Arabidopsis thaliana: one gene and its partner. The protein of the gene in region 1 interacts with the protein of each later gene in a pairwise test. Each region holds a gene or a part of one and is shown on either strand. Other genes may lie near its edges. The genes, in order: AT2G35900 and ATG8F.

Evidence for each region.
Region 2: the proteins of AT2G35900 (region 1) and ATG8F interact in a two-hybrid assay, tested with the Arabidopsis thaliana proteins (one large-scale study listed by BioGRID).

What each region holds. Positions count from the first base shown.
Region 1 is NC_003071.7:15,069,078-15,073,408, forward strand, and holds AT2G35900 (Mal d 1-associated protein), read right to left. Parts: upstream 2,753-4,331; 5' UTR 2,464-2,752; coding exon 2,255-2,463; exon of another isoform or gene 1,976-2,254; coding exon of another isoform or gene 1,902-1,975; intron 1,496-1,901; coding exon 1,126-1,495; 3' UTR 795-1,125; downstream 1-794. Other genes in the region: CPK25 (calcium-dependent protein kinase 25), read right to left, coding at 1-59; AT2G35910 (RING/U-box superfamily protein), read right to left, coding at 4,148-4,331.
Region 2 is NC_003075.7:9,305,700-9,310,547, forward strand, and holds ATG8F (Ubiquitin-like superfamily protein), read right to left. Parts: upstream 2,840-4,848; 5' UTR 2,647-2,839; exon of another isoform or gene 2,426-2,646; 5' UTR 2,415-2,425; coding exon 2,378-2,414; intron 2,284-2,377; coding exon 2,228-2,283; exon of another isoform or gene 1,791-2,227; coding exon of another isoform or gene 1,698-1,790; coding exon 1,645-1,697; intron 1,554-1,644; coding exon 1,435-1,553; intron 1,284-1,434; coding exon 1,183-1,283; 3' UTR 640-1,182; downstream 1-639. Other genes in the region: RGF6 (root meristem growth factor), read right to left, coding at 1-130. UniProt on the Arabidopsis thaliana protein: Ubiquitin-like modifier involved in autophagosomes formation. May mediate the delivery of the autophagosomes to the vacuole via the microtubule cytoskeleton.

The DNA of each region.
Region 1 (4,331 bases):
CATGAATTCGATTTCGTATCCACACAATTGTTGACCATATGAACACATACATTCCCCATTTCTACAATCTAAATCTCCCAATCAACTATATGCTATACAATAATCTACACGAGAAACGTATACAGAGAATCGTAAAAAGATAGAGAGGAAAAGTCCCTTTTCTTCCTTTTTTTCCTTCCTTTTCACGCAAGAGAAAAAACCCTTAACATGATCTCATAGAGACAAAGATCTCTCCTATCTAACAACATAACCACTTCCATGAAGAAAGACAGATAAATCTCCCACAAATGAATTCTGATCTAAGGGAGAAAGATCTCGAGGTCGGCTGAATAATTTAATCAATTCTCACAAAATGCTACGAATCATCTCCTTTGGTAAGAAACACACACAATGCACAAAATGAAAAACGAAGAATAAGAAAATGGGAATTGAGAAGGAAGATGATTTGACGAAAAGGAATTGGGTCTCACGTCGTGACTGAATTTTTTGGGGGGATTTATTAGGGTTTTTGGCCTTTCTCAATTAAATAAACTTGTTTGATTCTCTCCTCTAACATATGACTCTGTGAGGTTGTGTTAGAGATTATTTAGTGTCTGTGTGAATACATTGATTAACAATTTGGTCCCTTTAAACTCCGTAATTAATTAATTGTTAAGAAAAATCTTCAAACTCAATTGAAGACCAAAAAAGTATATTTCTTGTTATTTTCTAAATTACTCCATGCCACAAAATGGTAACCAATCTTTCAAAAAACGTAAGGTTAGATTTCAAATCTTTAATTCCACTCAAGCATATCACTCTACTTTGACCATTATTATTTTATTACCATTTAATGAAAGGTACGAATTGTATAAGGTAACATGTTTAAAAATGTAAAATAACTTTTAAGACAAAGTGATAATAAAAGACACAAGCATAACACATAGTAATATAGTAGTATGATGATATTGATAGATAGTAGTAGCACCCACTCGGAAAAACGTGCAAGCCGCTAACATTAGACTACAATCCCCACGCTTCTTAGAAAGTCACATTACATTTTTAAGATTATATATGCCAAAAGCTAGAACAAGACGACCTTTGTGAAAAAAAAAAAGAAGAAGAAGAAGAAGCAGACGACCTTTCTCAAACGTCCTTGGCCAAGCCCGAGAGATCAATCTCGCCAGAGGAGTGTGGTCGTGTAGGGGCAGTTTCGTCATTGCGGTGCTCCTCTACCTTGGGATGGTTTTCAATGGGTATCCCTCCTCTCCTGGTGCTTGGGTGATGGTCTCCCATGATATCAAATAAGCTGCTTGTCATCTCTTCAGCCGCATCAAAGAAACTCTTCATTCCGCTCAAGAAATGGCGTTCGATGGCGTCTACATCTCTGCGGAGTCCCGGGAAGTTTAGCGGGTTTTTATCCTCAAACTGATTCGGAAGAGCGGATCTTCCCACCATCTGGTCTGTCACATCCTCTTCTGTGTGCTCTGTGTTGGATTGAACGACTTCAGAGGGCCTAAAGCAGATACAGAACCAAGGGTAAATCGATTTAGTGATTGTCTAGAGGCGCGAAAGGTAACAAACAATCAAGGTGCTTGAACATTTTAATGGCTCAATCTCAAAATCACACATGAAAGGGCGAGAAAGAAAACAAGAGTTGTCTTCCAAAGGAAAGCATTACATTTAACATGGAATAACTCATATCACAGGTAGCAAACAAACAAACATGAAGCTCGCCGAATACACAGAAACTGTGATGTGATACTCTATGCATCTTCTTCTTATATGAGAATACTCCACTTACTTAACCCAAAAAAGACTAACCAGCAGTTGCTCCACTTACTTAACCAAAAAAAACATGCAAGTTATAACACTACAAAGATGATAAAATCATAAGAACTTTTATAATGAAACATTTTTACCATAATGGTTCAGTGATAGAGAGTCCTTTCGAAGAAAACAACATCAAACCACAAGAAGTAAGCAATGTAACCATTCCAGTGCATAAACACAACTATCTTTCTGCAATTCATATTAGTAAGCTTAGCATCAGAAACACAAATTTAGAGTCAATCTTTAACTATTGGCTTTTAGCTTTTACATAACCACAAAAACGTCAAAATTTTTTAACTCAGAGCTCAAAACAAACACACTTCATCTATTTGATCTATAAACCCTGGAGATTTGTTTTCCACATGTAATTCAAAATCTAAAAGCTTATCTTTTGCTTAATTAGGGTTATGATCAAAAGCGAGAAAATATCCGAAACACTCACTTCCCAAAACAGTGGCGGAGGATTTCTTCTGTTTTGTCGCATTTCCTGACGAACTTTCCAGGCTCGACCTCCTCCGTCTTGCACTGAGATCTTACCACCGTGGTCGTGGAGCAATTTTCGGCGGCGGCGGCAGAATCTCCGAGCGGTTTATCGGTGAGATCAGCACCGGCTTTAGAGGCGGATGAATCGTCAATCCAGATCCAACCCATAGCTAAAATTCGTGATGAGATTCTTCTTCTGTGTGTGTGTGGATTCTTCCTCAAGAAAAACTCGAAGCGTCCGATTTGTTTTTTTATACTCAGGCCTCTTTGTTCGTGAAACCGACTTACCGGCGCGTGAGGATTTTCTTTTTCTTCACGGGTCGGAAAAAAGTTTGAACCAAATCAAACCAAACTAAAGTAGTCAAATTTCTCAATCTGAACCGGAAGACCGCTGGTTAATAGATTTTTAACGTATGATGCGTCTCAAATTGTTTGATTTATTGTATTCGCGTTTAAGATCCACTCATTTTATTACCTTGTATCTTATTCTTTTTTTTCATAGATACTTTCTTAGTAGATCAGAGTTGTAACTAAAATTTTGAGAAATACTTAGACATTCACCATTACATAATAAAAATGTTTAGAATGTATCAAATATTTAGAATTTATTCAGTATTTAATTTTCTTATTAAGGAAAATAGATTATATAAAAAGTAATAAAAGTTGAAGTTAAAAGATGGGAAAGAAAGATTTTTTGGGTAAATTTTTTGACATTGCTGTGAACAATTGGGTCTTAGTCAATTTCTCAGGGCCCAATATGAAAGTATTCATCATTAATTCTGGCAGATGGGCCAAAATATTAAGAAGCCTAGCACAATAAGTCTTAAATCAGCATCATTGCTTCAAGTTGAAGCCTTCGACGTTACCGATGATGGTTTGAACGACCTCGGTTTGTCTTGTTATGAAAGGAATACAGAGCCGAGAGAAAGAGCATATCACTTTTGAGTGTTTGTAAAAATGAATTTGAGCATATCTTTGGTTATTTCTGGTTATTGAGTCTGTTGACTATAAACGATTGTAACAAACTCTTTGAATCATTAATGAGAAATTGAGCTTTTCACCATGTTTTCTCTCTCGATCATGGTTCCTAATATTTGGAGTAATATTTTTGTTTACCGAATACTTTAAATAAGATAAGAGTAGTTTTATCATGGTCAACTCATTTTTATCATCTCACCTACTTAATTTCAGCCAGCTTGAGATTGGAGACAAAAACAATCGTTTTCAAGTGTTTTTTTTCTTCTTGATTTATATCTCTTAATCAACGTTTTATATCTTTTCTTAAGGTCCTCATAAAAGTCTTTTTCTCATATCATCATATGTATTGGCTAACGGTTTACCCAATAAGACAAATACGCTGTTAAATATCTGGTTTTGTTTAACAAAAAAAAAATTGCTAATAAATAAACCATATGATTGAGAAAGATTGTCAGACTGACTATCAAAAACGCCTAATTGATTCGATCCCATTATCTTAAGTTCCAACTTGTCCTCAAACTCTTTTTTTTTTCTTTGACGTCTCAATATTTAAAATGATCTCTCAAAGTTCAATACAAGCCAAGAAACATATTTGCCAATATTCAAAACGACTTTAATTACTCTTTCTTGGTACGTATGTATAGATAAACTCGTTCACATTGCTTAAAGAAAAACTAATCCAACAAAATTGTGAAAAATTCATCCTTAACCTCCTTTCTCTTACAAATCTTCGGCTTCGAAGAGTGTATATACAGTGATCAGTTAGTGACCAAAAATAACAAATTTACAAGGAATTAAAAGAAGAATTAATAACGAGTTTAAGCCGGAGATTAGTCAAGATTTCGATTTCTTCGGTTATAAAATAAACAAATCACTAGGACATTCTTGTGGCGGCCACGGAGGAGGCTAAAGGGACAACCTCGGCGAGGGGAGTAGACAGAGGAGTTGGAAGCGGCGAAGTCCGACACACAGGACACGTAGGATTGAGTCTAAGCCACGTGTCGATACATTTAAGGTGGAAGAGATGGTTGCAATCTGGTAGCTGCCGCAGCAGATGT
Region 2 (4,848 bases), on another chromosome or scaffold:
TCTGTATACAGGGAGATGAGACTAGAGCAGGACAAAGAAAGTTTGAAATGTTGTTAATTGGTGTAAGAGAAGAGAAGAGGGAAGGAGAGTATTTGTAGGCAGAAGAGAGTAAAGAGAGTAAGACAAGCATTAAATACAGGTGGGGGGAGGGGTCCTTCATTATCATAACATGCTCTTGTTCCTCTTCTCTTTTATTTCTTTTTAATCTTCTCTCTTGTCTATTATTCAAATATATTTTACATTCAACATACATATCTATCGTATGTATATGGGTGTCTTGATCGGCCAAACCTTTTGTCTACTTGAGAGTCTTCGTGGGGTCATCATCTCCTGCATTCTCATTTTCCTTTCTTCCATTTGCTCACCTTATTCTCCGGTTCTTCACCTTTTTCATCCACGCCATTATTGTATGACCGACGTGTTTACTCTCTTAAGTCCTAATCGATCACCTTCTTATCACTACACTATTTGACATTGATTTCTTTGGACAAAACACTCACAAGTTATGAAAAGCTTTTACATTCAACTTTCACTTCAATGGTCCAAAATCCCAAAAACACAACCGCGTCTCTCATGTTCCACGTGACCGGTTGGAACCTTGAATTACAATCTTTGACGATCATAAATCGAGCTAAAACTGTGAACAAATAAATATATGAAACAAAAATCAATATTGAAAAGTGTAAGATGAGAAACAAGCCAGCATGGTCCGACCGTCTCCTCCTTCTCTCCGTCAACGACAATGTGGGACCTTTATAAGATCGTCGCCGGCCAACCTTCAACCGGTACCGACCATGTCTGCCACGTGGCACAGTTCCCTTGTGCTTGCACTTCTATTGAGTTTGGTGATATAACTTCTCTTCACTTAGGCTTTGCAATTTGGAACTGTCATGGCCCATGTGCCATAAGCGACGTGTTATGTCGGCTTATAGATTGAAGACATCAAAAAAAACACAACAAAGTCAAGAGGGAGATGTGATAGATTCACCTAAAGTAGGTTTTTAGATCCTTGAAAGAAGATTATATACATTATTTTATGTTTTCTGTACATATTAACGCCCGACCAAAGGTCCTTAGAGAATAAGTACATAGGTGGCTTGCTTGCTTAGTAATTAATAAGAAGATGAAATATTTGGTGAAAATAGAGAGGAGTAAAATGAAATATCCAGCAAGAGGTCTCTATTATGGAGATCCAAATCCAAATGTGTTTTCTCCGCTGTAAGTGACATAGAGGAACCCATCATCATCCTTTTTCTCTTCGTACACAGAAGACATGAGCGCACCTGCAAAGTTACCAGATCAGATCAGCCAAATATAAAGAATTTATAATCACCGGGGAACATATAAGTAGACGCCTTCTTATGCTCTTGTTACTTGTGTTAAAAGATAATGAAACTCCTGAGTCTTGAATACAGAGGAGATCTATCTGTTTACCTGCTGGAGGAAGAACATTGTCCACGAATATGAAGATAGCCTTTTCTGCACTCAATTTGATTCTTTTGCGAATGACATACACAAACTGCCCCACAGTCAGATCAGCCGGGACTAGGTACCTGCAAATTTGAAAAAAGCTTAGTTATCAATCACTATTATTAACAAGTCAGGTCCGAATGAAAAGGATACTGATGCCATTTATATGCTTACTTTTTCTTGTCGATGGTTGGTATATCACTCTTCTCAGCCTTCTCAACAATCACCTGGATCCCACAAAAATATAAATGCGTGGAAATCATCATCTCAAGTGTCATTTTTACCATGTGAATCATAAAGCACGTAGCCACATGAATCATGCAAATCTACTTATCTAAGCCGTAAGTACTCAGTAAGAATCGAGTTTCAGAAAGTCACGTTCCAAAAAATGACAACTAAATTCAAAGTCCTAATGTTGTTATAGTCACTATAACTCAATCAACTCCATGTAGTTGAAACAGTGGCAAACATATATCACAAGCATGAAGCTAATCAAACAATAATAACTTGATAACCATCCTTTAGTCGGGTAGGGTGTCCATTTAAAACCAGATGCTATCCCAATAAGTTCATTATATCCCAATAAGTTCATTACTACCATATTGCTGGGCCATAAACCACAACAACTTAACCTGCATAAACTCAGTCAAACACAAAAGATTGATCCGAACATAGAAAGGGAAACAATATGCTAATCACATATAACTTTAGAAATGTATGATCGATCAATGTATAAGAGAGACACTGAAAGTCTCACCGGAATCCTATCAGGATACTTCTCTCTAATCCTAGCAGCCTCTGCCCTTCTCTTCTCTGAAGATTTAGGAAACAGGATCATTAGATCAAAGCACAAGGTTTTGATTTCGAGGACCAAACAGTAAAGCAAGAACAAAGCTCAAATCCAAACCTAAGTCATGCTCTTGCTTGAACGAGCTTTTTGCCATTCCTTCCACGCCTACACACACATAACAAATAGGTGACACCAATCAGACAACCATCAAAACAAATTTAACACTCAAATCAAATCATCAATTCCCAAACTCTGGAACTCAGATTATCAAAATTCCCACAAATCTATCAGTCGATCATGTTAAAGACCCAACCTTTAAGTAATCTAAACGAAAGTACAGGATCGCAATCAAACCAAAAAAGAAGTTAAGAACTCAGTGATCAAACCTGTAGACTACAAAGAACGAAGCTTTTCTGCGATCAAACACTTCTCCAGAGCACAACGCTATCGTTGAAGATAACAACAACAATTAACGAAAAAATATGAAAGAAAAAGCAAATAAGCAACCTACAAAAATTCTGCAAAACATTAAAAAATTATGCGATAAGGTCAGAGATTCTCTACAGATGGTGTATGGTAACATCTAAACACTTCAGCTGACGTTGTATGCTTAATCTGTTCAGTGAGAATCTGACGGTAGATATTAGCTATTTACTGAAATAGGAATCTCAACCGTCCATTTTACTGAAGGTGTACGAGGTAACTGTCTACGTAGATATTGCCTCCAACAAAGGATAAAGAAGAACCGGATATGCTGGGATCACGTTTCTGCATACGATATGACACGTTTACCCCTAGAAAATGTGTGTTAGGTGAAGAGTTCGGAAGGGTAATAGTTGGAAATTGAGAATGTCGCTTATAAGCTTTGCCTCTTCTAACAAAATGTAGGGCCTAGTGCAGTAATGGGCCTTGCAAATAAACGGATGGAAATATGAAAACTAATAAATAAAGTATAGGCAGAAGTTTTTTTATGACTGTTATAGAGATCTGGAGATGTAGGTCTTGGTGTATGGACAGCTTAGGATTTCAAGCTTAGGCATTTCGAAATCAAGGGTTGAAAGCAATTACTGTATTTGAGAATATATCTTCAACACTGCACAAAACTCATTTTGTAATTTATTAAAATACCGGAATTGAGTGATTAATGTCAAAACCGAGAATTTACAGGATAACAAAGATAATTAATCAAAATGAATCTTTTATCAAAGTAAGATAAGTTTTCTAACAAGTTTTTTACTTATAGATATAAAATATTATAGTTGTGAAAAGACATAAACATTTTTAAAAGTTAAGATTGAGTTTTCTGAAGTTGAAAAAAAAATCAAAATTATTTTTTAATCATTATCCAAAATCATTACTTAATCCAAACCGATGCCCACCCTAATTATTTAACTATATTAATAAGGTTTGTAAGCAATAGTATATAAAAAGCTAAAAAAAATATAAGGGTATCTCACTACGTATGACACTTATCAAGTTTGTTAGAGCATATGGGGCACATATGTGGGAGTATGCACTTTTTCATGTTTATTTCACTGCACTTTTTCATGTTTATTTCACTGTTTCAAAACAATCAATACAATTATATCCTTACTCTCGTAACCTCAGGTCAAATAGCATGGTTAAGAAATGCCTTTGACGAATGATTTAGCTGTGCAGCAATATATAGTACTTTGAACTGCTCTAATGGGAGTGGATTGTGGATTTTCCTTTCTTCTGTTTCTTAATCTTGACATTAGATTTCCACTCCACCCCATCTTCGTCTAGTACCTTATAAGTCGTTCCAGCAATGTAGAAGGTGACTTTCTTCTCTTCAAGGTACCTCACAAAACGTTTAGCAAACTCAATGGGTGTTGAATGGCTTTTGTACTTTGATAAAAGACTCACAGCAATCTCCTAGTTAGGCTTGAAAATCAAAGTCTTGACAACTCGTTATGCCTCATCAATCACTTTTCCTCTAGCCAAGCCGTCTAAATATGTCCCCATTATTTCAATAGTTGGTTCTATCCATAGAGTCTTGACTATCCTTGCAAGAAGATAATGCCCATACTCAGTTTGTCGAGCATGTGTACAAGTTACCATCACGTTCCAAAATGTTGAGTGAGTTTTGATCAAGGTGGAAGGAATGTTCTCAAAGACTTGGATTGCTTTGAAGCATTCACTATTTGTGCCTAAGGTTGATATAAATGCATTCCACATACCTATACATGTAGCTCCAGATTTACCGCATTCATGAAAGAGTTTTTCTGTTAAGAAGAGTTTCAAACTCCAACTCTTAAGATTGGAGAGATATATTAGTCACATGGTAACTTTGTTAAGGAAAACAAAAACTCAAATATTTTTAAAATTTGTTAATCAAATAATTTTAAAATTGATTTCTTGTATAAAAGTATTGTTTTTTTGTGTATTTTAAATTATATTTTTATTTTTATTAAGTTATTATGAATCAAATATTTAAGAATTAAATTGAATTTTGATTTATACTTATATTCCAATCTTGTATATAAGTTAGTCAGATTGAAATATATGGTCGAAAATTGGTAAAAAATAATATTCACCATTATTTTGGTCATTAAGTTTTGACCACT